3 linked regions of the Pelodiscus sinensis genome follow. The protein of the gene in region 2 binds, or shares a complex with, the protein of the main gene of each other region. Links are inferred from orthologs where the notes say so. Each region holds a gene or a part of one and is shown on either strand. Other genes may lie near its edges.

Evidence for each region.
Region 1: the proteins of WNK4 (region 2) and KLHL2 are in contact, whole or in part, in a crystal structure (PDB 4CHB), measured with the Homo sapiens proteins. The link is inferred for Pelodiscus sinensis from reciprocal best matches to the Homo sapiens genes WNK4 and KLHL2. Residues at the interface, in NP_115763.2 of Homo sapiens: Glu557, Pro558, Glu559, Glu560, Pro561, Glu562, Ala563, Asp564, Gln565; in NP_009177.3 of Homo sapiens: Arg345, Phe361, Gly363, Ser364, Leu365, Arg366, Thr392, Phe408, Gly410, Ser411, Thr412, Gly413, Ser438, Ser439, Tyr455, Ser487, His504, Arg534, Tyr583.
Region 3: the proteins of WNK4 (region 2) and KLHL3 are in contact, whole or in part, in a crystal structure (PDB 4CH9), measured with the Homo sapiens proteins. The link is inferred for Pelodiscus sinensis from reciprocal best matches to the Homo sapiens genes WNK4 and KLHL3. Residues at the interface, in NP_115763.2 of Homo sapiens: Glu557, Pro558, Glu559, Glu560, Pro561, Glu562, Ala563, Asp564, Gln565; in NP_059111.2 of Homo sapiens: Arg339, Phe355, Gly357, Ser358, Leu359, Arg360, Thr386, Phe402, Gly404, Gly407, Ser432, Tyr449, Gly451, Ser481, His498, Arg528, Tyr577.

What each region holds. Positions count from the first base shown.
Region 1 is NC_134715.1:63,199,457-63,210,154, forward strand, and holds the start of KLHL2 (kelch-like protein 2), read left to right. Parts: upstream 1-6,293; 5' UTR 6,294-6,433; coding exon 6,434-6,456; intron 6,457-10,698. UniProt on the Homo sapiens protein: Substrate-specific adapter of a BCR (BTB-CUL3-RBX1) E3 ubiquitin ligase complex that mediates the ubiquitination of target proteins, such as NPTXR, WNK1, WNK3 and WNK4, leading most often to their proteasomal degradation.
Region 2 is NC_134739.1:8,657,496-8,667,703, reverse strand, and holds the start of WNK4 (serine/threonine-protein kinase WNK4), read left to right. Parts: upstream 1-5,802; 5' UTR 5,803-6,258; coding exon 6,259-6,771; intron 6,772-10,208. UniProt on the Homo sapiens protein: Serine/threonine-protein kinase component of the WNK4-SPAK/OSR1 kinase cascade, which acts as a key regulator of ion transport in the distal nephron and blood pressure.
Region 3 is NC_134727.1:31,918,288-31,928,584, forward strand, and holds the start of KLHL3 (kelch-like protein 3), read right to left. Parts: upstream 4,343-10,297; 5' UTR 4,123-4,342; coding exon 4,109-4,122; intron 1-4,108. UniProt on the Homo sapiens protein: Substrate-specific adapter of a BCR (BTB-CUL3-RBX1) E3 ubiquitin ligase complex that acts as a regulator of ion transport in the distal nephron.

The sequences.
Region 1 (10,698 bases), on a different chromosome or scaffold from region 2:
TGGGTTTTATTTCTGGATCCACCGCTGACTCACATAAGCACATGTAAATCAGTTTTCAAAGGAGGCCACTTAGGCATAGAGTAGGGAATTGAGTGCTGTTTTGGATGCTGTTACAAAAAGGAGAGCTTTCAAAATTGAGGGTTAGTGTTGGAGAAGTTCTAGCCTCTCTGTCTGAATCTGCATGATCTGATGCTTGATGAGTACTCAGGTTCAGGGATTTACAAAAGGCAGCTATCTCCGGAGGCTAGAATACTCAGTGTCTGGTGGGCTAGTCTGTTGCTAGACGTCCTGAACTCCTCACGAACTCCAACACTCAGCAAATAAATACACACAGTATTAGTCTTTTTAAGTTCCGTTGAACACTTGTAAAGTATGCCATAATTCAGGATTCTTTGCTTAGATCATTTTAAATGTTATAGAAATCTTCTCTCTTAACCATAGATGTTATGCACCAGTTTTGAGACATAGCTAGCTTTGTGGGAACAGATTAAACACACATAGACTACTAAGGAGTATTGTGCCAGCCAGAATGATCATGGCTGAGAATATTGCTCCTAGTGTCATGTAGTACAGTTTCCAGATCTGGCTCACTCCTGCAAATCCTTGAATCTGTGGGACTGCTCCAAAGGTATCAGCAGATAGGCTCCAGTAAAGAACCCCTTCGTACATCAATGGAGAGTTTGAGGACACAGTGTGTTGGAGTGTGTTAGTCCATCCTGGTGACATGGCTGAGGGGCATGCAATAACACTTTTGCTCAGTGAGCAATTGGAGGAAGGCCAGATCTTTGACATTTTGTACAAAGTCACATCATTTTATGTTGAGGATTTGGTGCTAACAATGCATATCAAATACCTTTAGGTGCTTCAAGTCTGCTTGAAGAGGGTCCAGGTTTCTGACCCATATTGCAATATTGGTTTTATAGATCCTGAACTTTGTCTCAGTGCAAACACACTGTTGCATTCATAAGTGAGACGGACTTCATGCCAGAATGGTAAGACCTATTTGTTAAAGACTGTCTGGTTTGCTGTGACCATTTGAACTCTGCAAGAAATGTAAATAAATAATTTTCTCCACAATACTCAACACCACCTTCACTGAGGGTTTTGGTGGTCTGGCTCCAAGATTCTGCACCTTTTTCTTCCACCATAAGATGTTCAATGCCATCTTGAAAACCTTGGAGAGTGGGGCTAGAATTCTCTGATTTGTGCTTGAGCAAGACACTGACCAAAATTGTGCTGAGGACACTCAACTCTTCTTGACCTGAATTGATTCTAAAGTTATGGAGAAGCCAGTATTATTTTTCAGTTGACAGCCTGACCCAATAGTACCCGACAGATGTGCAGCAGGGATACATTACAGTGGTGTAGAAACACGGTGAAAGACATGAATTAAGTGCCTATTTTTGCATCAATATAGATGCAAAGATTAGTGAATCAGTTAATAGAACATTTGGAACACCAACTCCTTTCAGTGCAAACCGAAATGCTGACCCTGTCAACTGAATCAAAACGCAACATGAAGGAGACTGTTAAATTTGTGATGCTGCTCAGCCACAGACCACAAAGTAAGGCCAGAATGTATCAATGATTGCCCTGCAATGAAACCTGACTGCTATGTATGATGATCTATGGCCGTGGTCCCCAACACGGTGCCCGCGGGCGCCATGGCGCCCGCGGGGGCATTTCAATGCGCCCGCCAGGTGCTCGGGGCTGGCCTGGCCCCGGGCACATGGCGCACGGGCGCTTGCGGGGAGAGCGCGCTTGGCGGGTGGAGCGCCGGTCGCGCGGCACTCGGCGGGAGGCGGCGGGGGGGAGCGCCGGCCCCGGGCGCGCAGCACTCGGCGGGAGGGAGGGGGAGCGCTGGCTGAGGGCGCTCGGCACTTGGCGGAGGGGAGGGGGAGCGCCGGCCCCGGGCGCTCGGCGGGGGAAAGGGGGAGCGCCGGCCCCGGGCGCGCGGCCCTTGGAGGGGGCCCTGCCCCCGGGCGCGCAGCTATGGGGGGGCCCCGCCCCCGGGCGCGCGGCTAGGTGGGGCCCCGCCCCCGGGCGCGTGGATGGGGGGGCGCCCCCGGGCCCCGCCCCCTGGCGCCCGGCGGGCAAACGGCCATGCCCCCTGGCGCCCGACAACCTAAAAAGGTTGGGGACCACTGATCTATGGTAAGGAGTGACTGCATCCTATCAAGCAGAATGTGAGCAAAGACCTTTCCAGGGACCAGTAATGAGATTAGCCTGTAGTTGCCACGCTCAGTGCAAAATTCCTTGCCCTTGTACAGGGACACTATGATTCTGTCTTTTGAGTCTATTGAACTTTGCCTCGTGTTAACACTTTTTAAGAACAGTTTATGGAAGCTGGGGCTCCCCAGTTCCAAGGCACTTTTGAGCAGCTGCCGTGGAATACCATGAGGTCCACGAGCATGTCTAGTGTGTAACTCTTGGATGGCCTTAACTATTTCCTTGATTTACCAAAGCTCAATATTTGTCCCTGGATCTACACCTGTGAGGCTTATCAGGTCATATAGCTCTCTAGACAGTCATCAGCAAGTCTGAGCTTCAGCATGCTTTAATGTGTTTTCCATCTGTTTAACACCTCCTCCATTGATGAGCAGGCAAAGCCATCTGGTTCCATAATAGGGATGTTAGAAGGCTGTTTATGGCTGCCAGCCAGGTGTGTTGATGGCTCAGTAGGCAGGATGTATTTGTTGTTCTTTAGGCTGTCCTCTGCTTTGGTGGCCAGGGAATTGATGTTAATCTCAGTTTCATTTTGTCCTGGTCCAGAAAATGACTTCAGCAGTTTATATTCTTAGATATCTGTCTGCTTATGTGTGTCTATCTTTTAAAATAATATAACAAAGGCCTCTTCATGAAGCTAAGGGGTCTTGGTTAATCATTTGAAGCTGATTGTTCCAGAAGTGGAATATGATAGTATTTTGTACACTATTCCACATGCTCCCCACATTTTCCATGAGGGTTATATGTGATTATACTGAGGTTATATGTGATTAATTATGATTTATGTTTATTTCATGGCTTCAAAAAGGTCCTCAAAGATTCTGGACATTTTACTGGTAGTGAACATCAGGATTGAAAGAAGATACGGGGAAAGCTGTGAAAGTCTGAGGCCTCAGTTTGCAGATGCCTCTGGACCACTAAAGCCAGGTAGTGTTGTTCTTTGGGAACCCAAGCCAAAGGAACCTACTGCAGGTCTCTGGGTTTCATACCGAGTTCAACTGCATCCAGTCATAGCATTAAAATCTCCAAGTACTAACCGTTTGTCATGCTGCAGAGTTAATGGAATTTTGCAAGTAACTGGTGATAAAATGAGTTCTTTTCCACAGTTGGCACATGTAGAAACAACAAAAGTGCCCACAATGATGTTGGAGCCAAGCATGGAGTCAGCCTATAGTAGGCCTGGGCAAAATTTGGCCCGTGGGCCATATCCAGCCCCCTAAACCACCAGATCTGGACCGTGGATGCTGTGCGGAGCCCCAGGTAGGCTCCCTGCTTGCCTCGCCCCAACCACACACTGCTCAAACATGATTGTGGGGCAGTTTCACCTTAAAAACTGAGCCCGGATGGAGGGGTGAAAGCTTCAGGAGCTGCTCCCTACCCCAACACTATCCCAGTGGCCAGCTTCCTGCCAGAAACTGGCCAATGCATTTTTCCTGTTTCAATAACAGGCAGCCACCAAGCACAAGGAACTCATAGTTATTCACAGAGCACATGGCTGCAGCCTCTGCAGGGGTGGGGCAGGCAGGGAGGCTCCTTCAGGAATAGGCTGCTGGCTGGTAAGTCTCTTGGCCAGAGCCTGCTGCTGGCACTGCAGTCCCACCCTTCCCCAACCCGCTGCTCCCTCCTCCACATACCCAAATCCTCTGTCCCCCTCCTATACCTATACTCCCTCCCAGATCTAGCATCCCAATCCCCTGACCCAGATCAGTCCCCTCCTGCCCTAGTTCACAATCCAACTCCTTACACCCCAGTCCAGAGCCCCACGTCACAACTGCCTCCTCCACCCTAACTCCCTCCCTTACCAAGCTCACTTCTGCACCTAACCTCCATCACAGACCCTGCTCCTCTTCCATTTAATAACATGGAAGAGTGCGTCGTTTGACCACTTTCCAAATTCTTGGAGGGGCCCCATCAAAAATTATTGCTCACTGGTGGCTGAGAGAATAGTGATTTCATGTTGCCAGTCAGTACAAGAGTTATCTAACAAGTACCATACCTCGAGTTTAGTATGGATGGCAGATTGTTCTTTACATAACAATATGTAGTAGTGGATAAGCTACTGTCTTCAGGATGTGGTCATCCATATCCACATAAGCTTCAGGTCTGACTGTACCTGATAAAGGCTCCTGTTCCGATTAATGAGTGAATTCCGACAACTGCTCATGTAAATGAGCAGGGCTCGACAAATCATTGAATCGACTCACCCGTGGCGAGTAGATATTAGCCGGTCGCCCCGTTCACCAGCGGTGCGCGCATGCGCAGTGCGGGTCTTGCACATGCGCACTGCGGGTTTGGTGAGCGGATTTTGCAGCTGTTTGTCAAGCCCTGTAAATGAGGACCATGTTCTCTAATGGTTATGAAGGTGGATGAGCTCCAACTGTGGATATATGGAACACAGACTAAAGAGAGTCATCTGCATTTTCAGGAACCAACAACATCTATCAAAAGTTACTGGGAAGGCGGTGGTATTTCCCAAAATAAAACATTTCTGTTTCTCCCTACATTCAACCGGCTTGACAATAACAACAGTACCAGGGGACAGGGGTGAGCTCTGCATGTGAGGACAGGTATGACCCAACTCCTGTCTGTGGAAAGTGCTGCCTTAATGATCCTAACTTCCTAGGAGACCATACCAGACCTTTATGTCATGTTCTAATAGTGAACAGCACTAGGTACAAGACAGCTTTTCTTAAAAAAAAAAAAAATCCATTGGAAGATCATAATCGCCTGTATCACAGAGGTCCATCTGCCACAAAGCAATGTAGATTTTAGAATGGAGTGAGCAAAAAATCAAGAGAATGTAAACTCAGTCACAGTCCTAATTGAGGGAGGCCTGCTATTGACCCATAAATTAGTAAAGCTCATAGATTCCAAGGCCAGAAGGGACCCTTGTAATCATCTAGTTCTCTGGTGTCCAACCACTTCTGCAATACTGTAGTGATCTAGCCACGCTCAACCTGCCAAATAGCCACATGGCTAGTGTGTTAGACACCACAGATTTAGTCTGACCTAGGCCTAGAGCTGCCCCAAAATGTTTTCCTTCTAAAAGAGAAATTAATCTCATCTTCGCTTAGAAATGGTCAGTGACTCCGCTCTGTCCCATACTACACAGATCCACCCAGAATATTTACACCTCACTGTCAGTCCGAAAATATCAGTTCAGTTTCAACGACAAGACAGGGGCATGTGTGCCATTTGTCTCTACTAGAGCCCATTGTTTTACACGGGTTCCCATGCAGGTGATGGATTGAGCTGCACTCACTGTTCCAGGGAGCCACGTTTCCCAAGCCTTTAAGCCAGGGCTACTGAACATGTAACCCGCGGGCTAAATGCAGCCCATGAGTGGGAGCTAAAACAAAAAAAGGAATCAATATAATGGTCTTCTCTGGATATGTTTTAATAGTTAAAATTCCTGAACTGTGATTGGTCATTAAAAGTGCTGTCCTATGGGTGGAAATTGGGTAAATGTTGCATTTTAGTAATAACATCAGATGTGACTTAATGGGGCCTGCGTGTTGCAGTCTTGCCTTAATCTTTGTATTCGTGCCCATCAGTGTGAAAGAAGCTATTTGCATATCTAGTTGCATGCACAAAACCGCACTCAAGCTGTGACCATCTTGGCCCCCAGGGCAGCCAAAGCTGAGTCGCCCTTCGCAGCCCCTGCTGGGGGGGGCAGGGACGGCTCTACAGCTGGAGGCGCCGATACGACGCGGGGGCAGCAGCGGGAAGGGCTTGGGCAGGCCGAGGCCCGCGCGCCAGGCTCACCGGCATCGTGCCTTGACTCCCGCCTCGTCCGTCCCCGCAGGACACCCGGGGCCGCGCCCAGGCAGCGGTGGGGGCGGGGTGGGCTGCACAACGGCCGCGCCCCAGCAAAGCCTCGCGCCCCGAGCGCGGGCGGGGACACCCCAGGGGAGAGCGCGAGGCCGGCGGGTGGGCGTCCCGCTCACTTCGAGGCTGCGTGCTGACGTTGCGCCGTCCCCGCCCGCGTGGCTGGAACCCGGAAGTGGGCTGAGCCAGGGGCGGCCGGCGACAGGGGCAGCGCAGCCCGGCTCCGGCAGGCGGATGGATGGGCGGCGATAGCGGAGCCCCGCGCGCGGAGAGGCGCAGGCGGCGCGGGCTGTCCCGGCGCGCGCGGCTGGAATGCTGCTGCTGCTGGCGGCGGCGTGCGGTGCCTGCGTCCTGAGGAGGGAGCCTGCGCCGAGCCGCGATGGAGATGCTGCTGCCGCCGGTGTGAGTGCGGCGGGCGGGGAGGCGAGAGGGGCTTCGGGGGTGTCCCGGGCGCGCCCGGCTGGTGACGCGGGGAATCCCCGCCAGCGTCTCCTCCGGCCTCCGGGCTGGGGAGCTGCCCCTTCCCCGCGTCCGGGTCTCCAGTAGCTCCTGCCCGGGGGAGGCGGCAGCTGTGGCTCGGGATCCCCCTCCTAGTGCTCTGACACCGCGGCGCCTGGAGCGTCCTTTGCTCAGGCTTGTTCCCCTCCTTCCTCTCGCTCCTGGCCTGTGTCAGCGCGACGCTAGCCGGGGAGTTCCCTGCGCCGCTGCCCGGGACCGGGCAGAATGCGCGTCTCCCACCTGCAGGTTGGCTCTGGGTCCCATCCGCCCTGGTGGCGTTAGGACACGTGAAAGCCTGGCTCAGTTAAAGCCCTCCCTGTTTCATCGTGTTACTTGCTAGCCCGTTCCCCGCCCGGGATTGAACTCGAAGCAGGAGCATCCAACAGGTAAAACGGAGTAGTTGGCTTGGTTCGGCAGGATTTTAAGAATACTTCTTGCTTTGCACCAGTACTGCAAGGGCTTCTGGAGGGTGGTGGGGGTGGACTGCCTTATTGTACCCTATACAGCGCTAAGCATGATAGTATCTCATAAATAGCTCTTAAGGGCTGTCAGAAGTAGGGGCAGGTGAATGAGGGGAAGTCACAAAAAGTGAGCAAGATTAAAAATGGTCAGCAGAAAACATGGTAAAATGCATGTCTGTCTCCCAAGACCAGGAGAGAAAATGCTAAGGAGTGCCATTAAAATCTGTTCTCAAGGATGGGAATAGCACCCTCACTAAGGAAGCTTTCAAGGCGAATCTGTAACCACCCTGTTAGGTCTCTCTCATCTTGACTGAGATTCTCTCATTTTTGCATTGCCAGTAGATATTTTTATAGCATCTGTTTGATGAAAAATGTTTATGGTGTGCAATTCAATGAAACATTTAAAGTACCACCCACACTCAGTGGAAATCTGCTTGCTGGTTTTGTGTATGCATACATATATAGGTACACCTGTTAAAGCATGTACTGAGATGTATCACTACATTAAGAGATTTCTGGGGTGTTCAAAGCATGTGGATGTAGTGGTTTTTTTTTAAAAAACAGGGTTGCTAAGCAATAAGCAGTTACACAGGTAGGCATAATTTCTGCTTCTCTTTATTTTACAAAAGGTTACCAATTCCATAGTCCCCTACTTCCTCAGATTTGAAGTACAATGAGTATTCTAGTGCTTGAGACATAGTAGTATGCATAGATGTGTAACTCCTTTCCTGCCCATAGTAATTGCGACCTCCTTTTCCTCCCTAGTGCAGCAATACTTTTGTAACTAACAGCCACATGTTTTCTTTGTACTGCAGATAAGCAACACGTTATTTCGGTGCATTCACTCTTTGTTCCCAGGTTTTGGAGTGTATTACCTTACCCATATTTCTCTCTAATACCCAGGATATTTGTTATTTAGGCAGTTGACCAAAAACTTGCTACAGGCACCTACTTTTCACACTAGTGCGCATAAATGGGAAAGTATACCACCTAGTCTTACTTTCTCTTCTATCTTATGGTAAAATTGTGCTTTCCCAAGATTCCCTCTAAAAAGAAGCCTGTCTGTAATAAATCTTGCAGCCTGTGCTAATTGTAGGAGCTGGAATTTTGGAGGAGTTAGCGGAAGATTGAGGATAGAAAGATTAATCATAATGGGGTGGTGTGTCTGGGATGGTGAAGTGAATATACTTATGAAAACTCTGCTCAGTATACATGGCAGCACTTTGTGCTCTTCAAGATCTGACAGGTCAGGGCTTTTGACACATGAAGTTAGAAAAGACAACTGGGTCTTATCTGTTTGCTTATAACCAATAAATATGTTGCATGCCTAGACACAGATCTAGATTCCCATTTTTATACCAATTCAGGCATTGGATGATGTAAGAGATCCTGCCTTATATTGTTTTCCCCTACATAATCACCATGTTAGTTGTAATCTGACATTCCAGTGAAGTTATATATTGTCCTTGAATGTTTAATCTTTAGCTACTCCATCAGAGCCCAAGTGTAGCTATTATAGTCTTGGAATTTCAGGAGGAACAAGAATCATCCAAGTTAAAGGAGGAGGGTTATGTGAATATTATAAGCACAGTACAGGTAGTTTGAGTTTGATCATTCCTCTGATTCAGAAAACCACATTATTTTTGCTCTGTTTCATCAGTCATGATAATCAGGACAGCTGGAAGTGTTGAAGAGTCAAACCACATGCGTCCACCATGCGTAGGGTCAGGTTCACACTGGTTACATATGTTGTGGTTTAATATTAATGTATCATACCTTCTTCATAACAGTCTTCATATAGTTTCAGATGCCACAAATATGGGGCAACTCGAGACAACGAAAATAGAGTTAGTTAGGAGCTATAACTATACAAACTCAAAGTAATTTAAAGTGTATAAAATAGTCCCTCAAATAGGATGCATATTAAGGTGGGCTTTTTAATTCATTGCAGGCTTTATAATGTCATAGCCAATTTAGGACGTTCCTGTTTTGTAACCTAAAATCTGGTAGTTTCACCATTCATATGTAATTGGCCCCTTCACCATTATACAGTAATTCCTCATTTAACACATGCCCGCTTAACACGTTTTCACGATAGCACGATTTTTTTTTTTTAGGAAATGTTTTTTGAATTACACGACCGTCCCCAGAATAACATGATTTCCCATTGCTGGCGGCTCCTTCTCCCTGCAAAGTGGCGGAGGGTTCGCCGCTAGCTGCACCATTCCCTGCTGACTCCCCATAGCTGGACACCTTGCCCCCTCTCCTCCGCCCCTGCCTGCAAGCCCCCCCCTCACTGGACACAGTGTGGGTCCCGGAAGACCTATCACAGGGGTATACTCCCAACCCAATCCCTCTCCCCTCTTCTCCCCTTCCCTTCCCCAGAGCCAAACACCTTCCCTCCCTGCTATAACCCAGTCTTTCTCCCCCAACCTTATGTCCCGGTCCCAACAGACACCACCACTTGAAACGCAATCCCCACCTTTTCCATTATTTTCAGTGGGAAAATTGACTTGCATAACACGTTTTCACTTAACACAATCATTTTCTGAAACATGTATAGTGTTAAATGAGCAATTACTGTAACTGGAACCCCCTCAAAGAGAGTAGTCAGCTCATTTTACTTGTTTGCTTTTATTTCTGAATGATGATCCATATATACAGCACATAAAGTGGAAGATTAAAGTTTACTCTAAAAGAAATTACGGATGTCAGTGTGTAGAGAACTACTTGATTAACTAATAAGCCTGGATTTATTGGTTAATCTTGTTGACTACATGCCTCCCCCCTTTGCTGCCTCGGGGGGTGGGGGGCCATAAGCAGGAGCCGGTTCCTCTGATGGAGAGGCAGTAGTGCGGAGGATAAGGAGGTGCAGGGGAGAGCCAGCTCCATGGACCCACCTGTCCCCCCTTGCTGCAGGGGAAGGGAAGAACAGGCAGAAGCCAGTTCTTGGAGAAGCAAGCTTAAAAGCTGGTTCCCACAGCACCAGCCCCATGGTGCCACCTGCCCCCCCCCTCCCTGTGCTGCTGCCTCTATCTATGTAAGGAAGAAATAGGAATATAAGGACAACCATACTGGGTCAGACCAAAGGTCCATCTAGCTCAATATCCTGTTTTCCCACAGTGGCCAATGCCAGATGCCCCAGAAGTAGTGAACAGAACAGGGAATCTTCAAGCACTCCCTCTCTTGTCACCAATTCCCACCTCTGACAGAGGCTAGGTACACCATTGTACCCATCCTGGTTAATAGCCATTGATGGAGCTAGCCTTCATGAATTTAACTAGATCTTTCCTGAACGCTGTTAATTTCCTGGTCTTCCCAGCCTCTTCTGGCAAGGCATTCTACAGGTTGACTGTGTGCTGTATGAAGAAAATCTTCCTTTAGTTTGTTTTAAACCTGCTACCTATTAATTTCATTTGGTGAACCCTACTTCTTGGCTACATCTACACTGGCACCCTTTTCCGGAAATGCTTAAAACGGAACAGTTTTCCATTATAAGTATTTCCGGAAAAAGCGCATCTACATTGGCAGGATGCTTTTCCGGAAAAGCATCCGTGGCCAATGTAGACGCGCTTTTCCGCAAAAAAGCCCCGATCGTCATTTTCGCTATTGGGGCTTTTTTGTGGAAAAGACTACTGTGCTGTCTACACTGGCCCTTTTCCGGAACAGTTTTTCCGGAAAAGGA
Region 2 (10,208 bases):
AAGGAGAGGAGAGGCCGGCATACTTTAAGCTCCCTGAAAAGCATCTGTTCTGATCGGGGCCAGCCTGAGACCAAATGGCTCCTAGGTGAGGAGCATCTTCGGTGCTCCCCCGACCCCGATGTGTTAAATTTGTGAATATCTTGCTTTTTATTACATTTATAGCCTATTTCATGACTCCGATGCATGATTTGTCCTTGTCAAATACGATGATATAGTTGCATGCTAGGATCTGTACATTTGTATTTCTTCTAGGGATGTTAAATATCGGTTAATTGAATAGTCGATTCAGCTCATGAATTCTTATCAGTTACTCGACTATTCTATAGTCCCCGGGGGTGCGGCAGGGACACTCCGGCTCCACTCCCAAGGAGCCGCCTGCCACTCCTCTGTATCAGAGACAGCGGCATGGGGAGCCAGGCAGGAGCTGGTCCACGAGGGGAGCCAGTTTAAAAACCAGCTCCCCTCGCGGACCGGCTGCCTGTCGCCCCGCACTGCTGCCTCGGATACAGAGGCAGCAGCACCTGTTCAGGGTGGGGGCTGAGCTCCTGGACCCAGCATGAGCTGGAACTGAGCTGGGCTGTCTGCCTGCCTGGCTCCTAATACACTAGGTCCTGGACCCGGTGTGAGCCAGGACTGATCCGGGCTGCGGACCAGCCTGCTAAAAAATTTACTGGCACGGGTGGGTGGGAATGCGTGTAGTCTATAGCATTAACCTATAAGCTTTTACTTATTGGTTAATCAGGTAATCAACTACACTATTACATCCCTAATTTATTCATGCCATATATATGCAAATAACATAATTTGTTTTCTTTCGGCTGACAGAAATTTCTCTATTGTATGAGTAACTGAAATATACGAACACCAAGAAATTGACGTGGGCCCCAGTGCTGGATGGATCAGTATTAACTAGTGTTACAGTAGGTGACAGCCTTAGAATGTTACCCCTAGTCCTTAGTTCAAGAGGTTGCTTTTCTCGCCTTTGCCCTGCAAACTGAAGCTGAGCGACAGAGAGAGCCAAAGACTGGCCAATGGCATTTTCCAGCAATAAAATAGCAAATGACGTCAGTCTCTCATCAGCCATCGTGGATTGAAAATATGTTTTTATGAGCCTGAGCTTCGAAAAGCTCATATTCATGGGAGCAGCCTCCTCAAAGCCCTCCAGGCATTGTTCTTAACATAAGAACAGCCAGAGTGGGTCAGACCAAAGGTCCATCTAGCCCAGTCTCCTGCCTGCCAACAGTGGCCAATGCCAGATGCCCCAGAGGGAGGGAATAGAACAGGGAATCATCAACTGATCCCACCTGTCATCCATTCCCAGCCTCCGACAAACAGAGGCTAGGGACACCATTCCTTCCCATCCTGGCTAATAGACATTGATGGACCTAACCTCCATTAATTTATCTAGTTCTTTTTTGAACCCTGTTAGAATCCTGGCCTTCACAACATCCTCTGGCAGGGAGTTCCACAGGTTGACTGTGTGTTGTGTGAAGAAAAATTTCCTCTTGTTTGTTTTAAACTTGCTACCTGTTAATGTCATTCGGTGACCCCTTCAGCTCTGTGTCATGGATGAATGGGAGAGCTTGGCATGCAGAGTGCTTTCCATGTGGCAAAATGTGACAGATGTTGTCCAATTCAACAGAAAGGTCTTTAGCATTGATGGCCGAACGTTCCCCATGTGTCTGGTGAAGGTCCACACAATTGTTCAAGAGATTTTCCTGTCCGCTGGCAGCTTACTACGGTCACACAACCATCCTCCCTCTTCCCCTACAGTCTTTTGATGGTGCTTCATTTGTCCAAATGTTTCTTTGATGGCTAATCAAGCAGTGTCTATGAGCAGGGCTCAACAAACTATTGAATCTACTCGCCCGTGGCGAGTAGATTTCAGCCCGGCGCCCCGTTTACCGGTGGCGTGCACATGCACAATGCAGCTCTTGCACATGCGCAGTGCGGGGTTGGCGAGTGGCTTTCGCTGCCGTTTGTCAAGCCCTGTTTATGAGTGAGCAATAAAACTCCCTCTTGAATTTTCTTCCAAGCTTCCCATCACCTCATCTCTGCCCTCCTAACCAAACTTCTTCCGATTAATATGAATTTCCTTGAAGATGGGCTTAAATCCTCAGTTTCCCCACATTTCTTTAGCTGCAGTGTTGATAGTATCTTCAAGTCTGTTGTCTCTGTAGGCAACAATGAAATCATAAGAGAAGATAAGAATGGCCAGAGTGAGTCAGACCAAAGGTCCATCTAGCCCAGTATCCTGTCTGCTGACAGAGGCCAATGCCAGATGCCCCAGAGGGAGGGATCACAACAGGTAATCCTCATGTGATTCCTCTCCTGTCATCCATTTCTAAACAAATAGAAGCTAGGGACACCATTCCTACCCATTCTGGCTAATAGCCACTGATGGACCTAACCTCCATGAATCTATCTAGCATTTTTTTGAACCCTGTTAAAGATCTAGCCTTCACCACATCCTCTGGCAAGGAGTTCCACAGGTTGACTGTGCGCTGAGTGAAGAAAAACTTCCTTTTGTTTGTTTTAAACCTGCTGCCTATGAATTTCATTTGGTGACCCCTGGTTCTTATATTGTAGGAATAAGTATATAACTTTTCCTTGTTCACTTTTTCCACACCGGTCATGATTTTATAGACCTCTGTCTAGATTTTTTTTGAACCCTGGTCTTCTCTGGCAATCAAGGCAGCTTCTCCTCAACGTAGTAGCAGTCGCGATGTCCATTCACCGAGTCTGTCATGCCTTGTGTGTAACGTGTACTTGGAACAGGAGAACATGCCAAACCACAGCTGAGACCAGAAATTTGAAGCCAGGGATCTGCTTTGCCAGGCTTTGTGCCTCGTCTTGGATTCTGGCCTTGGCTTTACTTGGCTGCGCCAGTTCACGAGGGCGTCATAAACCTCAGTCGCTTGGTTCCCGCCGGCCTTGATGCTGCTCTCCCAGTGTGTGTCACTTAGTGGCAGAGGTGAAAAGTGGCTGGTGCAGGATGGTTCGGCGCACTAAGACCCGGCCACCATACAGGTCTGTGTACGGCTGATACTAAACGCCGCTGGCAGAGGGGGGCTGCCTCAGGGGCCAGCAGTTTATTAGGGCCTGGGTCCTTCAGATTGCCATCAAGAGTCCCAGGGCTCCAGGCTGCGGACACAGCAGCCATGAAGGACTAGTTGGGGCAGTCTGCCCCCTGCCTCACTCCTTCTGGCTGAGGCCAGGTCCCTTCTGGGGGCCCAGAGCTGCTGGCCAAGGACACCCGAAGCAGTACAGGACACACCGGTATGTCCCAGCATCCACCGTCACCCCTGCCTAGTGGTGTCACAGTCCAATTTGTAACATTGCCTTTTTTCCACCTGATTGCGGATGCCAAAAACAGGGCGTACCTCCTTTGCAGCAGTCCGAAAAGAGCCTGATTCTAAAGACGACGATGCTGCGTCTGACACATCTAGGGCGAGGGGATGGCAGTCACAGCTGTTTCTGTCATCACACGAGGTCGATTCTTCCTAACCGTTTCTCTCCTGTTCACATAAGCCAGGTTATATTTTGCCACGACTCCCCTTTTCATATTCTCCTGTATCACCACGCTCCTTCGTACCGCCAAGAAACCTGGACGATTCTCCATCGCTTTCCTCACATTTTCCTTCCTTCTCTTCAAGTACATCTTCTAATTTTATAGTCATAGGACTCCCCTCATTTATATGTCACTCCTCGATTTCTCTGCACTCGGACAACCCCAACAGCCGAAAGTAAGCCCAGTCTGTGTCGTCCTGTTTCTGCTATTTTCCCATCAGATTTGCCCCTTGCTGAAAACTAGATTGCAACTGTGCTTTTTGCTTCCTTCTCTTCCGGGGAATCTTTTATTTTCTTCAGTGGAAAACAGCCAGTGTTAGGGAGAGCAAAAGTCCTTGTCCTCCAGCCTTAGTAAGTCATCAAACATTACATGATAAGCCTGGCAAAGGAAATAACAGTCTTTCTTTTATATTGTAGCATAGGAAAAATATCTATTGAACCCTTATCTTTCTCATTCAATCTGTCCTTTATCTGGTGCTAATTACACTCTTCACATCTTAAAACACAATTACACAGTAAATCGGGGGTGGGGAACCTTTTTTGGGTCGGCAGCCACTGTCCCACAGAAAAACCAGTCGGGGCCCACACAAAAGTGAGAAGCAAAAAAAAAAAAAAAAGTCACTGATGTGAGAAGCAGAAAGACACTCCCCATGTTACCAGAGCATGGGGGGGAGGGGCTGAGCCAGTAGATTTTGTGGGGTCCTCTAGCCTCTAGGGTGGGGCCAGAAAATGAGGAGTGCAGTATGTGGGAGGAGGCTGCTGGGAAACAGGTTTGGAGTGTGGACCCTGGGCGGGAGGGAGGGCCTCGAGGGCCGGATCCAGGCAAGCCGGGGGCCGAATCCGGCCCCTGGGCCATATGTTCCCCATCCTTGATCACAATATGGCACCTGGGCTTTCACTTCATTCTTATATCTCCCTGACTGACAGGTGACGGGCCGCCCCTGAAATACCTGCAAGGGCCTGGCTGACACGTTCTTGGAAGTTTGAGGAAAATGTGGTTCTCGGAAAGTCTGGAAGGTTCCACACGATTCTACAAAGGGCCGGAACATTCTAGGAGTTTAACGAAAAAAGAATCCACTCACAAATGCCTGGAACATTTTACTTCCAAGATTCTGTTCTCTTTTGTCTAAAACCAGCCCTCCGAGCCTGGTGCCCCCCACGGCCGGCACCCCAGGCAGCAGCCTGCCCCGAAATCTGGCCCAGGTTCTGAGCACGGGGCAGTGACAACACCTGCCTGGCTCTCCCTACTCACGTCCCTGAGCACTGGAGAGTTACCACCTCAGCAGAATAACGCGCAGCCAAGTGAGGGAAGACGTGACCAATGGGGACTCAGATGGGTTAATTCTCCTGTTTCCTTGCCGCATCAGCGTTTTAGAGGGCGCTTCCTTGGTGTGGGGGTGGCTGGATCAGGAGTCTCCGCCAGCAGGAACGGCCTCCCCGAGTGCGCTGCAGAACAGACAGCTGAGGAAGGAGCCCTGGACAGCAGGTGGTTCTGTGTTGCTCATAGGAACGCATGCCAAAGCGCGGGGGTGGGGGACCTAAGGCCCAGGGGCTGGATGCAGCCCCCAGCTTGCTTGAATCCAGCCCCTGAGGCTTAAGGCTCCACCCTAGCATTGGGGAGCTGGTGCTCCCCCCCCCCGCTCTCTGGGTTTTGAGGGGAAAGTGGGGAGGGTCTTTCTCCTTCTCAGTCGGGGGCCACGACAGTGAGGGTTTGGTTTGGGTTTTTTTGCTTCTCACTTGTGTGCAGCCCCCGACTGATTTTTCTGTGGGTCAGCGGCCCTGGTCGTGGTCGAGGTCCCCCCCCGACCCGCTAGCAGGACAGAGCAGTGGGCCTCTCTAAGAATAGCAACCACATTTAACCTCCCGAGATCTCAAAGCGCTTTGTGAAGGGGGTCAGCAGCACAAGCCCATTGGGCAGATGGGGAAACGGAGGTCCAGAGAGAGGCAAGGGTTCGGCAAAGCAGCAGTGCCAGGAACAGAACCCTGAGCCCCCTCAGTCTACCCCCACTTTAAGCCAGGCTCCTGCCTTTCCCAAAGCAACATGGACAGGACAGAAGGACTTGGGCATTAGTTGGGCACCCTGGGCTAACACCTTCCCATGACGTGGGTCTGTCTTTGAGCTGCAGGCAGGAGGCACCTGGCCCACAGGGCTCATTAGCCCGCAGTCTCCCCAGGGGTCTTAATGCCCTCGTGCTCCTAGCCCAGCCTGGGTCTATCTGCAAGGAGGGTTGTTTCTTTGGGGCTTTCTCCGCGCCCCCCCCCCTCCGGAGCCCACTTGGGGCTGCACAATGGAGGAGCTGGTTTGGGCAGGAGGACTCCTCCTGTGGCCACCACAACCCGCTCCAGAGGCCCCAGGGCAGCGCGGCTCGGAGCGGGGCACAGAGGCCAGGCGGCTTGGTCGCCCCGCCTTGTTATTGTAGGGTCGCTCCCGCAGCGAGGGGGGCTCCGCGCTGTCCCAGCCTCTCCAACACCTCCTGGTGGCGGGGCGCTCCGGGGGCTGCTCCCCGGGCTGCGCAGGCCAGGCGGCTGCGGGACCCCGCTCTCCAGCGCTGGGGGCGGGCCGGGGGCGGTGCCGGGCGGGCGGAGCTCGGCTCCGGGCTGGCGCCGCACGCACCGCGGCTCCCGTCCCAGTCCGGCTGCGCCCCCCAGGTGCGAAGCGGCGCGGGGAGCCCCTCACCCCCCCCCCCCATGCTGATGCTCCACGTGGCCGGGCCCCCCGCGGCCGCAGCCATGTCCCAGCCCGAGGTGGATCTGTCCGGCTGCGGCATCGCCCTGGAACCGGGGACCCCCGGCCGGGCAGCCCCGCTCCGCAGCCGGGGGCGCAGGCTGGCGGGCCGCGAGAGCCGCCGCGGCTCCTACAAGTTCAGCCGGCGGAGCTCGGCCGAGCTGGAGCGGCGGGGGCCGGGCCCGGAGGACGCGCGGGGGGACCCCCGGGCTCGCCAAGGCGCGGAGCCCGCGGCGCGCTCCGGCAGCGAGACGCCCTCGCCGCCCCCCGGCCGGGGCTCCCCGCGCGGCGCCTCCCCGGACGAGAGCCGCCGGGCGCAGGACGAGAACGAGGAGATCGAGACCCGCGCCGTGGCCACCTCCCCGGACGGCCGCTTCCTCAAGTTCGACATCGAGATCGGCCGCGGCTCCTTCAAGACCGTCTACAAGGGGCTGGACACCGAGACCACCGTGGAGGTGGCCTGGTGCGAGCTGCAGGTGGGTGGCCGGGGGCGTGGCGGGGAGCAATGCGGGGGTGGGAGCTATTGACCCAAACTGTGACCCCCCCCCATGCGGGAGACCACCCCTCGATCCCGCACCTGTGCCCGCAGGTGGGCTGGGGCAGTGATCCCTTGGCTGCACAGCCTCTAAGAGGCAGGCGCATCCCAGTCTCTTGCCCCCTGGTGCGGCACCTCCAGCCAAGCTGCCCCACACGACCCCCCAGGTTCCCAGATCCGGGGGGCTCTGCTTCGGGTTAACCCCACACTGCCTGGGAACAGGGCAGCCCTCCGCTTCCCTTGGAGGGTGGATCGAGGAGGAGGGCTGCAGGGGAGTCCCCACAGTGCCGGGTGCTGGATGACTGGGCCGGTCGGCGTGGGGAGGAATTGGGCCTGTGCAGATGGGACAGAGCTTGGCCAGTCAGATGGGTCTGGCTCCCTACTTTGGCTTTGCCCCGGGGGTTGGCAGGGCTGGGGCAGGCCGTGGGGCTGGGCCAGCTTTCCTGCAGGAGGCCAGGTCCGTGGCTCCTTTCACCAGAGGGACTGGAGAAAGGTGGGGGGGGGGGTGTGACTGGCAAGCGCCCCCTTGATGGGCCTGGGACTGAGCCGTGGGTCAGATGGGGCTCTCCTGCCCCCCCCCCCCAAAGCTGAGTTCAAGACATGCCCCCACCTGGCATCTGAGAGGCAGTGTGTGGCGCTTCCCCTGCCCCCTCTGTTGGCTTCAGCCTCTTATTCCTTGGGCCTCCCCTACCCGCTCCTGCTGCTGCCTCCCACTGAAGCAGGAGGCATAGAGCCACGTGGGTTCAGTTCTGTTATCGCTGGCTCCTGCGGCCCCAGGTCCTCCCCTCCCATGCTTGTGGCCTCCTGTGGCTGGCACGCCGGACCTGTGCAGCGCAGGGTGGTGTCTGTTACGTAGGCGCCTGAGCTGGCAGCTGCCGCCACAGATACTGAATTACTCTAATTCACGGCTATTCCCAGCGGTGCCATTTCTGCAGATGGACTGCAGCAGCCAGGCAACGCCGGCCCTTTCCTGCTCCCTGGCCTGGCTCAGATCCACAAGTGCCATGCGCAGGCAGCTCGGGTGTGTGGTAGTTCTGCCGTGGTGGGCCCTGGTGGGAACGGCTCCCAGCTTCGTGCGGCTCTGGGCTCCCCACGTCCACCGTAGCCTCGCATCCCTTGGTGATGGCAGCGAGCCAGCCCCGCCCCTGCCGATCCCTGCCCCAAGGAGCTGCAAGCTGCGTATGGGGCCTTGGGTGCCAGGGGTGCAGGTGAAGTGCCAAGCAGTCTTCTGCACCGGCTGCCCGCCCAGCAGAGGGGCTGCTTCAGATGCCAGCCGTGCCCCCATTGCCACTTTGTGGGCAGCTGGTTCCTTCAGTTTCTGGTTTAGGGCACCGCTGGCACGTGTTCAAGGAGCTTTTGAAGTGTAGAGAAGGGCCACGGCACCAGCCACGCCCTCCCCTCCCCCTTTGGGGCCACGGCACCAGCCACGCCCTCCCCTCCCCCTTTGGGGCCACAGCGCCAGCCACGCCCTCCCCTCCCCTCCCTTCGGGGCCACGGCGCCAGCCCTCCCTCCCCCTTCGGGGCCACGGCACCAGCCACGCCCTCCCCTCCCCCTTCGGGGCCACGGCGCCAGCCCTCCCCTCCCTTCGGGGCCACGGCGCCAGCCCTCCCCCTCCATTGGGGCCACAGCGCCAGCCCCCCTTTGGGACTCCAGGGCTCCTGACCGTAGGCTAGGAGTGCCTGTGGGTTAATCAACAGATATTTGTTGGTCGGGACGTATGGGCTGTGGGGGGTTGCGTGACGCTGACAGAAACCGTGGTGCCCTCCAGGGCTGGATGCAGGAGCTGTTTTACCGCCCCCGGACCTGGCGCTGTCTGCTCTCCTCTCAGCTCTCCCACCCCTTCCTCCTCCGCTGCCCCCCTCCCTTTGCTGGGGTTAGAGAGGGGGGTGTAGACACTGGGGCGCTTGTGCTGAGTGTGTGGGGGGGGCGGTTTCTCTAGCCCCCTTCCTCCTTCCTGCTGCAGGGCTGGATGGGAGTTCTCCCGCTCTGGGCTTCGGCTGCCGTCCAACCTCTCTGACCACCGTCTTGTCCTTGGGGCGGCTGGCGCAGCCGCGAGTTCCAAGTCCTTGTTGACACAGAAAAACGTGTCTTGCGAGTTTGTCTCCTGCCCCGCAAAGCTGCGCGGGGTGTCGCCGGGCGCGCCGGGGCCTGCGTCTCCTGGTGGGAGGAGGGACTCCTGCAAGGCAGTGGGTGGCTCTGTGAGGAAGGGGCAGCCCCTGTGTGCCTGCCCCTGGGGGCGACCCACCAAGCCCCTGGGTATTCGTGGGGGGCCACGTCCTTTGCCCGAAGCTCATAGTCACGCTGTCGGTGCTCTGCCCCACTGGGCATGACTTTCCCCGGGTGTGTAATTTTTGTGCGTCTCGGAGGGTTGTCGTGTGCTGCGTCCTGTGTTTGGGCCTTGCTAGGCAAGTACGCCCCTGGCCTGCTTGCCGCCTTTGTAGCCTGGGGGCATCCGGGCACCCTCTGTAGCCCCAGGCTGGTTCTCGATCCTGCTCTGGTGTCTCAGCTCCAAGCGGAGTTGCCAGCCTCTCTCCACACCCCACAGGCCACGTCAGAGGGGCGCCTGTCAGGCCAAGGGCACGTGCCGTGGGCCAGGCTGGATCTGAGGTACCCGCAGACGTCCTGCAGCTCGCGTGGGGTAGGGGCTGTTGGTGTCCTAGCCTGTCAGGCAGCATTTGGCATGGCCAGGCCAGCTGTCATGGGCATGGTGCAGACGGCGGGCTGGCATGCTTGTAATAGGAGGCTGCTTGGCATTTTGGGGGCCCATGGAGCACAACAGCCCCCACCCAGCACGGACAGTCATTGAGCAGTCTAGCCGTGTCACCCATTCCCAGCTTCTGTGCCAGTCCTGGCTCCCTACTCCAGCTCTGCTGGTGTCCCTCCCTACCGAGAGCTCTGCCAGTGCCCCTCCTTCCTGATCTGCCCCCCAGAATGCTCTGCCAGTGCCCCCCAGTCCTGATCTGCCCCCCGAGAACTCTGCCAGTGCTCCCCAGTCCTGATCTGCCCCCCGAGAACTCTGCCAGTGCTCCCCAGTCCTGATCTGCCCCCGCTGAGAACTGTCAGTGCCCCCAGTCCTGACCCACAGCCCCCCTGGTACTTCCCCCCACCCCACCCCCAGCCCGAGAGCTCATTCATCATCTCTTGTCCCAAGCCCTCCAAGCCTCACGGAGCCATGGAGCATGTGAGGAGACTTAACAAGCCTGTTTTTGAGCCCTAATCCTGCCGAGACACAGCCGCTGTGGTACAAATATAGGAGCTTGTCCCACAAATGAAAGTGGCTGTGGTTGGGCCCGGGCAGAAATAGCTTTGTCCTGCATTTGTCTCACAGTCGCCGTTTATTGCCTGTCGAATATAAGTGGTCATTTTACCTCAGCCCT
Region 3 (10,297 bases), on a different chromosome or scaffold from region 2:
CCAGCCCAGAGTCACAGGGAGCCATGCAGGTCATCCCCCGGCTTTTTCCCAGGGCTGGGGCTGGCCTAGGAGCAGCGAGGGTCCTGCAGGTTGGCTACCAGTGCTCCCCGGGGCTGGCCCGGGCCACATGGTGGCCAGAAGCTGCTCCCAGGGCTGGGGCGCTTGCAGCTGCCCTGTGGCCACTCACGAGTATAACTGTCCCTGCTATCACTCTCTTTCATTTCCATCGTATTCCACACACATCCCTTTGTCCTGGCACAACCAAACCCTGACCTTGCCTTAAGTTATGATAAGAGGAAGCTGCATAGCAAACGTGATGGTCCCAGCTCTTCCCATTTAGGAGGAGTTCTTAAACAGACTCACAGACGGACAAATGGACAAATGCAGAAATTCTCCAGAATATATAGCAGATTTAGGTTTTCAGTAATTCTTCTGTAAGATTCTTTTTTTAATATGTTTAATTTCATCAGAGATAAACACCACACATTTCTGACCATTCAGCTGTGTCATTTTGTCAAAGAATGACCATACAGCACTGACAAAAAGAGAACTGAGTTCAAAGAAAGCAATTTAGATTGCCACACACAAGATTGGCTTAGACGAAATCAACTCTGCAAACATATAGGCACATGATTAACTTTACACATGTAAGTAGTAGTCCTACTCACCAGCTCACATGAGTAAAAGTGTCTCAAAAATACAAGAGTTTACAGGGTTAGGACCTACATTTGAAGTGACTGGATAATAAAGCACTTTTTTTAAAAAATTGACAAAGTGGAAGAGAAAAATTGAAATCCAGAGAAGATAAAATAGGTCAAACTTGAGGCCTAAACTATTATGTAAGTTTATAAAATGTTCCCATAAAAAAATTTAAGCCAGTGTACAAATATTAAAACAAAACCACCACACACAAAAAACCCCACCCACCCACCCAATGTATTCAGTAGCCCTTTTCAGTGTGTAGAGTGTAGCTTTTGTGGAGTTCAAGAGGACATGCCCTTCTTGAATGTGAGAACCTGACATCTTAACTGTCTCTTCAGAGGGACATAAATCCAAAGTCCTTACAGCCTTGGTTCACTGAAAAGCCTTGCCTCTCTTTATATGTACACCATGAGAAGTAAAAGTCATACTTTGGATAATTCTATTCGAACCACCAAAATCCCCCAGAAGATTCAGTGCGATTCTTCACTTTCAAAGACCGATAGGATATGGAATAGGGATGTTAAGTAACTGTTCGTTAGCTAATCGAGTAGTCGATTGAAATTCCATCAACTATTCAATTAGTCGAAGAGGGGCGCTTAACTTACTACATTTAAAGTGCAGCCCTGGCGTAGGATTAGCTCCTAGGGGTGGTGCGAGCTGGGACAGAGCAGTCCCAGCTTGTGCCAGCTCCGAGACAGCTGCAACTCTGCCTCCCCAGCAGCGTGAAGATAGTGCTGGGGGGGAACCGTCAAAAAAGCTAGGTCCCCCCAAGCATTGGCTTCTGCTTCCCTTCCCCACCTGCCACTGCCTCTGCTACAGAGGCAGCAGGGCGGGGAGCAGCAAGTAGTCACACAACTAGTCGTTTACATCTCTAATATGGAGATTGTCCTTAAGGAATAAAAGTGTCTCAATCAGTCTAAACCAAAAATAAGGTAAACTGGCTACTATAAGGCTCTCTAGAAATTCAGTGCCCAGAAGGTTCAGTATTTGAACTTTTGGACACTACCATATTAGAAGTGATTAATCAGTGTTCCCTGTAAGGTGAGTACAGGGGCAGCCGCCCAGCTGATTTGCAGAGCGCCCAGAGCAGGCAGCATGTGTTGAAATTGGTGGTGCACACCTGCACACGCCTCAGAACATATAACAAAATTTATTCTGCACATGGAGGGGGGAAAAAAAATAGAGGGAACATTTTTAACAATGGCCACTCTGCCTCATCTTCTCCTGTCAACTCTCAGGCATTAGGTTCACTTTAGAAACTGCAAGAATTGGACACACACTACTATATGGGCAACTATCTAAAATAACTCAGATTTAAATATACTAATGAATAACCTCCACAGCTAGCCATTTTACACTTATTCTAGATCTTGTGTTTCTCATATATTTAACCACTAGCGAGATCACAGGCTGAGAGTTTTGTTTTGAACGTTAAATATACAAACAGCACATCCTTCCCACCCAGACTCCTCATCCCCTCCTACACCATGGGTGGTTGGCTGGTGGTCTGCTGAAAGATTTGCATTGAACAGGGTAGGTTGTAGGCCAAAGTGTTGGAGAACCACAGATCTCAAGGATAGAATTCTGCCCCTTGTTACATGAACAGAATTCTCTTTCCTCAAGTAAGGCCAGTAGTTTTCAATTTGAGTACAGTATGTTGGAAAAGCAAAGTATTCCTCAGATCCCAAAAGGCAGCAGGTTTCCAGTATGATTCAGTGAGAAACTTTCCCCCAACACAAAGGTCACCAGAATAATTTGGAAAAGAAGCATTCAGTGGAGTTTTTGGGAGTAAGTTTCTGGCTTCAGAAAGTCACAGGGCCAGGGCAACTCAAAGAACACCACGTACGTGGTAAACTTTTTATATCCCCCTCTTCTCTAGGTCATTCCTATGCAACAATCACAAGATGCAACTTCTCATTATTTGCACTATGTTCAGGGGGCCTTTACAGTCTTAGAAAAACTACAGCACCGACAATATCACAGCCAAAAACCAAAACTGCATGGGAAACAGTTAATGGCCCAAATACCCTATGAGCAGCTATTTAGCTGCTGCTGTCTCCCTCTTCCTGTCATAAAACACAAGTCCCTGGTTTCTGCTTATAAAGAGGTGTGTAAATTCAGTACACTTGCAAAATTCATAAACTTGTGTTTGTTAACTACAAGAAGCACTAAATGGATGCCACTGGGTACAAGTCAAGATTTCACTGGAGTATCTGGGCTGCCTCTCACTCCATTCATATGATGAAATGGGCTCTGCCCACAAAGCTATAGCTCATTTTATATTTGTTTATTTGAGTACTAATAGTTTAAAATTGTATTGGTAGGCTGCACTGTATCAACCCACATTAAGTTTCCACACCTCACTTCTGCATATTCCTTAAATACCTACATCAACCAGGCAAAATGCATTCGAACATCTTGCACACACAAAAAAAATCTGTCTGGCCAGTTTTCACATGGATCTAAATTCCCTTCCCTTCTGAGGAGGGTTTGTGTCCTGTGAAGTAACCTTCATTTTTTACATTGCAATGTCTAGTAATTGGAAGATAAAAGGGATATTTGTGCTGGAGATTAAGAAAAAAAGGCCTTCCAAGAACAGAACGCTAACATGCTCCAAAAGGAAGGAGAATTCTCACAGGAACATGAGCAGTGTTCCCTGTGATCGTGCAGACACTCGGGGATTCAAATCCTCCCCCCCAGCTGATTAGGATTTTTGTTTCTACTAATGTTGCACATTCACACCTGCCTCCGTGCACGGATGGAAAAGCTTGGAGGGACCACTGAACATGAGAATCACAGTCCTTGAGTTAATCGCCCTTCCTTGCATGCCAATGAGTGCCACTGGCTAAGTGAGCTGGTTCTTGTAAGTCCCACATCTTACAAGCTTATGCAACTATCCAGAAGCTTTTCAGGTGAAAAGGCAGCTCTCACGAGAATGTGCTTCCCCGGGGACTGCAGAGATTCTTGTGAACCGCACCGCTCCCAGGTCCACCCGTTCAGGCGCCCACATGGGGATTTGAAATTTTGAAAGCACACTCCGCGATAGTTAACCTGGGGCACTTTGTACGGGGGGGGGGGGGGGGGGAATGGTGGTAACAAAATGCCCAGGGGTAAGGAGTGATGCTTGTCCCCGTGAAACACAATGCAAAATCCTTCCTCACTAGGGAGAGCTTTGAAAATTAACCCCCCCCCCCCCCCCCCCACACACACAGAATCGTGAGCAGCAGATCTGTGGCACTTACAAATAAGCGCCAAGCTAGTGTCCCCTGCAACGAGATGCCAACCCCCCCCTTAGCGTGACCCCCCAGCGATCCACCAGCAGGGCGCTTTGCACGCCCTGCCCTCCCCCGTGCAAGCACAAAGGCGGCTGCCCTGCCCTGCCCGGCGCGCGCACACACACACATACCTTTCCTCCTCCATTGTGCGCAGCCGGGCTGGAGCCTGCCCTCTGCATGCACCCGCCAGCCCGCTCGCAATCCTGCGGCCGCTCGCCGGCAGCGCGCTGGCGAGATCAATCAGCGCCTGCCACTCCGCACGGCTGCAATCGGAGCCCCGGGCTCCCCCCACCGCCGAGCTGCTGCCTCTCACTGGCTCCCTCGCGCAGCAGCCGCCGCACAGCGCCTCCTTACCCAGAGCTCCCTGCAGCGGAGCTGCAGCAGCCCGCTCCCTCCGCCTTCCTCCCCTGCAAGCTTGCTGGGCTGTCTCCTGGCAACAGCAAGCGGTGCCATTTACACCTCTCCAGCTGCTGCCGCTTGCACACGGCCTCCCCACGCTCTCTCCAGTGCCAGCCAGGGAATCTGTCCAGGGGGAGCAGGGGATTGAGGGGGAACTTCTGGCTTGTCACATTCACTCAGCAGGGAGCTGCTGTCTCTCAAACGGGCCCATGCTTTCCTCCATTACGTGCTGCTGCAAGGCCCAAATTCACCTCCGAGACCTTGGCCTACCCTAGGCATTGCCAGTGAAACAGAATGGATCTCCCTCCTCCCCCAACTCCCTGCATTTCCCACCCAAATCCGTGGCTGGCCCTTTTCAAAGGCTTTAAAACAACAACAACAAATGGTCCTGCAGCACCTTAGAGACTAACAAAAAAAACGTAGCTGGTAGCATGAGCTTTCGTGGGCACAGCCCACTTCTTCAGATGAATGGAGCAAGGGCTCCAGCGGTATAAACAGCAGAGAAAGAGGGGACTGGTGCCGGAGGGAAAGTGAAGGAAAAAGAAAATCTTGTAAACTGTCATTCATACAGTTGAAATACTCCCAAATGTAAATGATAACCCATGAACAGATCACAGAGTGGATCTGATTCTAATGGCTATTAAACCATTAAAATTAATTGCTCTGAGCAAATCCATGGAGGACATCCCACGGTGACATTCCTGCTTGAAGAGAGACTCTGTTATTCACGGATTTCTAGGCCAGAAGCTATCACTGTGATCATCTAATCTGATCTCCTGTATATACCCCAGGCCACAGAACTTCCCCAAAATAACTCCTAGAGAAGATTTTAGAAAAGTGTCCAATTTTTATTTAAAAATCACGAGTGATGGTAAATCCACCAAGACCCTTGTTAAAGTGTTCCCATGGGTATTTACTATCACACCAGATTCAGAACACTGAGGATGTTTCCCATGTATTTCTTTTGACAATATTCTTTGTGAGAGAAGATCCTCACCAAGATCCTAGTGTACATTCCAAGTGCCCAATCATATACTCATGGCATCTGGTATACCATGTAGTACAGTGTTTCTCAAAGTGGTCTGTGAAACCACTTTGAGAAACCTGTTAACTGGCCACTACGGTGTGTTTACTTACTGGTGTCACGGCCATGGAGCCTCGCAGCTCCTATTGGCTCCGTTTTGCCATTTGCAGCCAAGAGGAGCCATGGTATATTTTCACAGACCACTTTGAGAAATACTTGATGTAGTGAAAGCATAAGAGTTCTAGGCAAGGAGCAAAAACTAAAAGTAAATAATTTATTCAAAAACTGAGGGTCCAGACCTGTTCCCATGGAAGTCAATGGCAAAACTCCCAACAGATTTCTAGACAAGCAAGAGCAAGCCCTGCCATTGATGCCCAATGCCAATCCCCTGAGCAACATACATTTATTGAACAAACAGCTATCATAACAAAACACTAGCCTTTCAGCCAAAGACCCATACCAGAACACCCCACTTCAACCAGCCAAGGACCTACAACTGAACTAATCCAACAACTCCGTTTAAATGCTTTGTTAAAACAGATATATTTAATACTGAATCTTGAATTCCTTCCAATGGGAATAGTTTCTCACAGCAATGGGGTGTTGAATCTGAGACAAATAATACAGCTAATCAGTGGACAGAGGCAAGGTTTCTTTACAGCCACTTTGCGAAGTGCTCATGATAGTTTACCTAAGGCACAAAACTGCTTGCTTGCCTTTTACTGCAACTGCTGATAGCCATGAAAAAGCTAGTATTTTACTCTACCAAAAATGTTACTCAGGTTGAGTGGAATTTTTCCGGGAGAATTGACAATGCTCATTGTAAAACTGGGACTGGTGCATAAAACTGGTATCTTCCTACTTGGCGTGTGTGTGTGTATGCTCCCAAATCTGCATCTTGACAAATAATCTTGTCTACTTCTTTTCTTAAATTAGAAAAAATGGAGTCTATAACCCCAATCTGTAAAGAAACACATAAGCACACTAATAAAGCTGATGAGCTGAACTGAGATCATAAACTTTTCAGGACAGGGACCATCAGCTGAATGCAACTGCTGAAATGGGATGCCATGCTTCCATTTTTAAGTGCCCAACTTGCAACATCTTGGACCTGGTTTTCAGAGACACTCTCACACAGTAGTCCACATTGACTTCAAGAGGAAGTACGAGTATTAAGGTCTTCTGAAAATAAGGCCTAAGTATTTCTGTTTGAACACCCAGTACTACCATCATCAAAAATCAAGGCTATGTCCAATATCTTTATTCATTCTGTGAGGAGCCTAGTACATCTTTGATACCTAAAGAAACTATTTAAACGTGACAATTCCAAGAATGTAGCTAATCTTTGTCCTTTCCCAAGACAAAAGTAAAACAATGACCAAAACATCTGAAACATTAATGACAAGATCATAAGGCTCCAAATCATCAAAACACTCTAGAGAAAGATTTAGGACAGGCTCCCCGATAAGGATTTTTTCATATCAAGCAATTAATGGTTTTCGAGTGAAAGCATAGGCAGTAGAAACATTGGAATACCTTTGCTTTAAGCTTTTGCCTTCTGTGATAGATTCTCTTCGTCAAAGCCTTTCAGCGGGCCAGTATTTTTTCTACAAAGTAACTAACATTTAAAGATCAGACACGCTGTCCCAGACTGAGATGCAAAAGAATCTTTTTATGGAATTTTTTTTTTAAACTATGACTGTTGCCCTCTAGTGGTAGTTGTATATTTTACACTAACCCGAGTTCACAAAGCCACATATTTAAAAATACATTTTTTTCTAATCTGTAGCATGCAGAAACATCCCTTTATTTTTAATTTAAAAATGGTCCGTGACTTATGCTGATCATTCCTCTTTACATTTAAGATTTAAATATAACAGATTACATCCTAGCTATGAATTTTGGAGACATAAGGTGGGTGATGATTATATTAGACCATCTTCTCTTGTAAGAGACTTAAAACTTTGGAGCTACACAGATCTCTTCCTCAGGTCAAGGAATGTAAAAGACAAACTGCCTGTTCTGTAACTGGTATTTTTTGAGATGTGTCACTTATGTCCATTTCACATTCCACACGCATTGGTGCCGGAAGTATGTCCTTCAGCAGTACCCGTAACGAAGTAGCTCTAGTGACCCCTGGAGAGGCACCTCCCTGGTGCTGTATAAGGGGCACTATACACTTCCCCAACCCTCAGTTCCCTCTTGCCAGAAACTCTGCCAGTGGGGAAGGAGGGCAGATTGTGAAGTGGACATGAGCAACATCTCGAAGAACACAAGTTACAGAACAGATAACTGTCTTATCTTCAAGTGCTTGCTATCCATTCCATGTTAGGTGACTCCAAAAAGCACCTATGGAGGTAGGTAGAAGTTCTTGGCCACGTTGATTGTAACACAGCTCTGGCAAACCCATCATTGTCTCTAGCCTGCTGAGTGATGGCATAGTGAGAGATGTGAACGTGTGGACCAAGGACCACGTATGGTTCTACAGTCATTGCGGATTGCACATGTGCCAGGAAGGCAGCCAGTGATGCCCGCACTCTGGTTGAATGAGCCCAAAAAATCAGGGGTAGCTTTGCCAGCTTGTAGCAGGAGCAAGAGAGGACGCAGTTGGAAATCCTCTGCAACAAAACCAGAAGGCCCTTCATCCTATCAGCTGTAGAGACAAACAGCAGCATTGACTTGCTTAATATGTTCTAGGTAAAACCCAAGGCCTTCCAGGTGACCAGGGCATGTAGATGCCTCTCTTCCACTGTCTTGTGAGGCTTGCGCAGAACACAGGCAGGAATATGTCCTGGTTCATGTGGAAGGAAGAAACCACCTTTAGCAGAAAGGCCGATAGGGTGGTAGCTGGACTTTGTCTTTATGGAAAACTGCGGAAGGCAGTTCCAAAACCCATCTCGCCAATATCAGAGTCACTAGAAATGCACCCTTCCAAGACAAGTGGGAAAGGGACAGGAAGCCAGCCGCTCATGAGGTGGACCAGTGAGTCTGGAGAGGACCAGGTTGAGGTTCCACAGTGGTACAGGGTTTTATACCTGCGGGTAGAGTTCTTGGAGATCCTCAGTAATCTGACCATCATGTCATGAGAGAACACCATCTGTCCCTGAATCAGCTGGTGGAACATGGAGATAGCCAAAAGGTGTTCTCTGAGGGAAGAATGTGCCAGACCCTGGTTCCCAAGCTGCAGCAAGTAATCTAGGAAGGCCTGCTCTGGAGAACATTCTAACACCCTACAGGAGACCATCATCCACTTAGCCAAGTCAGTCAGTCTCATAGATGGCCTCCTGCTTCCCAAAAGGACCTGCAGGACCTCTTCTGAGCAGGTACACTCCTCCAGGCTCAATCATGGGGCATTCACACCAAAAGGTGCAGATATTCAAGTCTGGGCTGTAGGAGTCAACCACGGTCCAGATGGTAGGGAAGAAGTCAGGGAGGGCCCATTTGCATATTAATGAGCCATACCAGTGCTGGTGAGGCTGCAATGGGGTGATCACAATAACCCATGCCTTGGTGGGAGGATCTTCATCAGATCCTCAGCTCATGACAGGAGGAAGGCATCAGAGAGCGAGTCCTTTCCCAAGCCCTGCTGGGATCAAAACCAGTGGCACTTTCCATTATGCCTGGTTGCCAACAGGTCCACTTGGGGAATTCCCCACCCCTGGGAGTGAATGCGAGTGACTTCTGGGTGAAGTGACCACTTGTGGTGAGAGGAGAAATCCCTGCTGAGGTGATCCTTTAGAGCACTCCTAACATTCCTGGGAGGTAACCTGCTTCCAGATGGATATCATGGCTGATGCAGAAATCCTGAAGCTGGAGAGCCCCTTGGCATAGACCCGACGAACACGCTCTCTGTTGAGTGTGGATGTAGAACATCAAGGCCATGTTGTCGGTGAGGAGACTCACCCTCTTGTCAAGCATGCCCCCTCCTCCCGCTAAGTCCCAGATCGGACTAACACACTAATGACCCCAAGGTACTAACACTAAAACCATTTACAGCAACTTTACAAAGTCTCTCTGAACAAAGGCTAAGCAACACTGAAGCAGCAACCTTCTACCATGCATCATAACCGGCATCAAGAAGGAACTCAGGGTAGGGCGAGCGGCATCCCTAATACTGTGCCATGCTAGCACCACTCCTCTCTGGGTACTGCTGAAGGAAAAACTTCCAGCACTGATGCATGTGGCAAACACATACACCTGACATGGACTGGACAGGAGCAAGCACTGGAAGAAGAATCAGTGTCACAGCTAAATACAAGGTGAATCATATTGTTAAGCATCACCAGGAGTTAACAGCTGTCCCACAAAGCCATTCAAGTGGGCAATTAACACTTCTGCAAGCATAGGATGAACGAATGTTAGGGGGCTACAGACTGTTGTAATGAAACGTAAAACCAGTGTGTCTATTGCAGGGGTCTCAGACTCCCAGCCCGCAATGCATCCCTGGCTGGAGCAGTTGCACATTACAGCAAGGAAGTCCTGGTGAATGAAGGGAAAGGGTTGCCTGTCCATTCCATTCCCCAAAGTCCCCGCCCCCCGGCTCCTGAGAGATGCATCAATGTCATCGTAGTGCTTTAATGAAGATGCTCTAAGCCGGGGGTTGGCAACATATGGCACGTTTGTTGTAAGTGGCACTTAGCGGGAGCTCATCGCCCCCCCCCCCTTTCCACAGTCGTGGCTCCTCTGGTATCCAAGAATGATTAAAGGTTTAGAGAACATGACCTATGAAGCCAGGCTTCATGAACTGGGCTTGTTTAGTTTGGAAAAAAGAAGATTAAGGGGGGACATGATAGCGGTTTTCAAATATCTAAAAGGGTGTCACAAGGAGGAAGGAGAAAATTTGTTCCTCTTGGTTTCTGAGGACAGGACAAGGAGTAATGGGCTTAAAGTGCAGCAG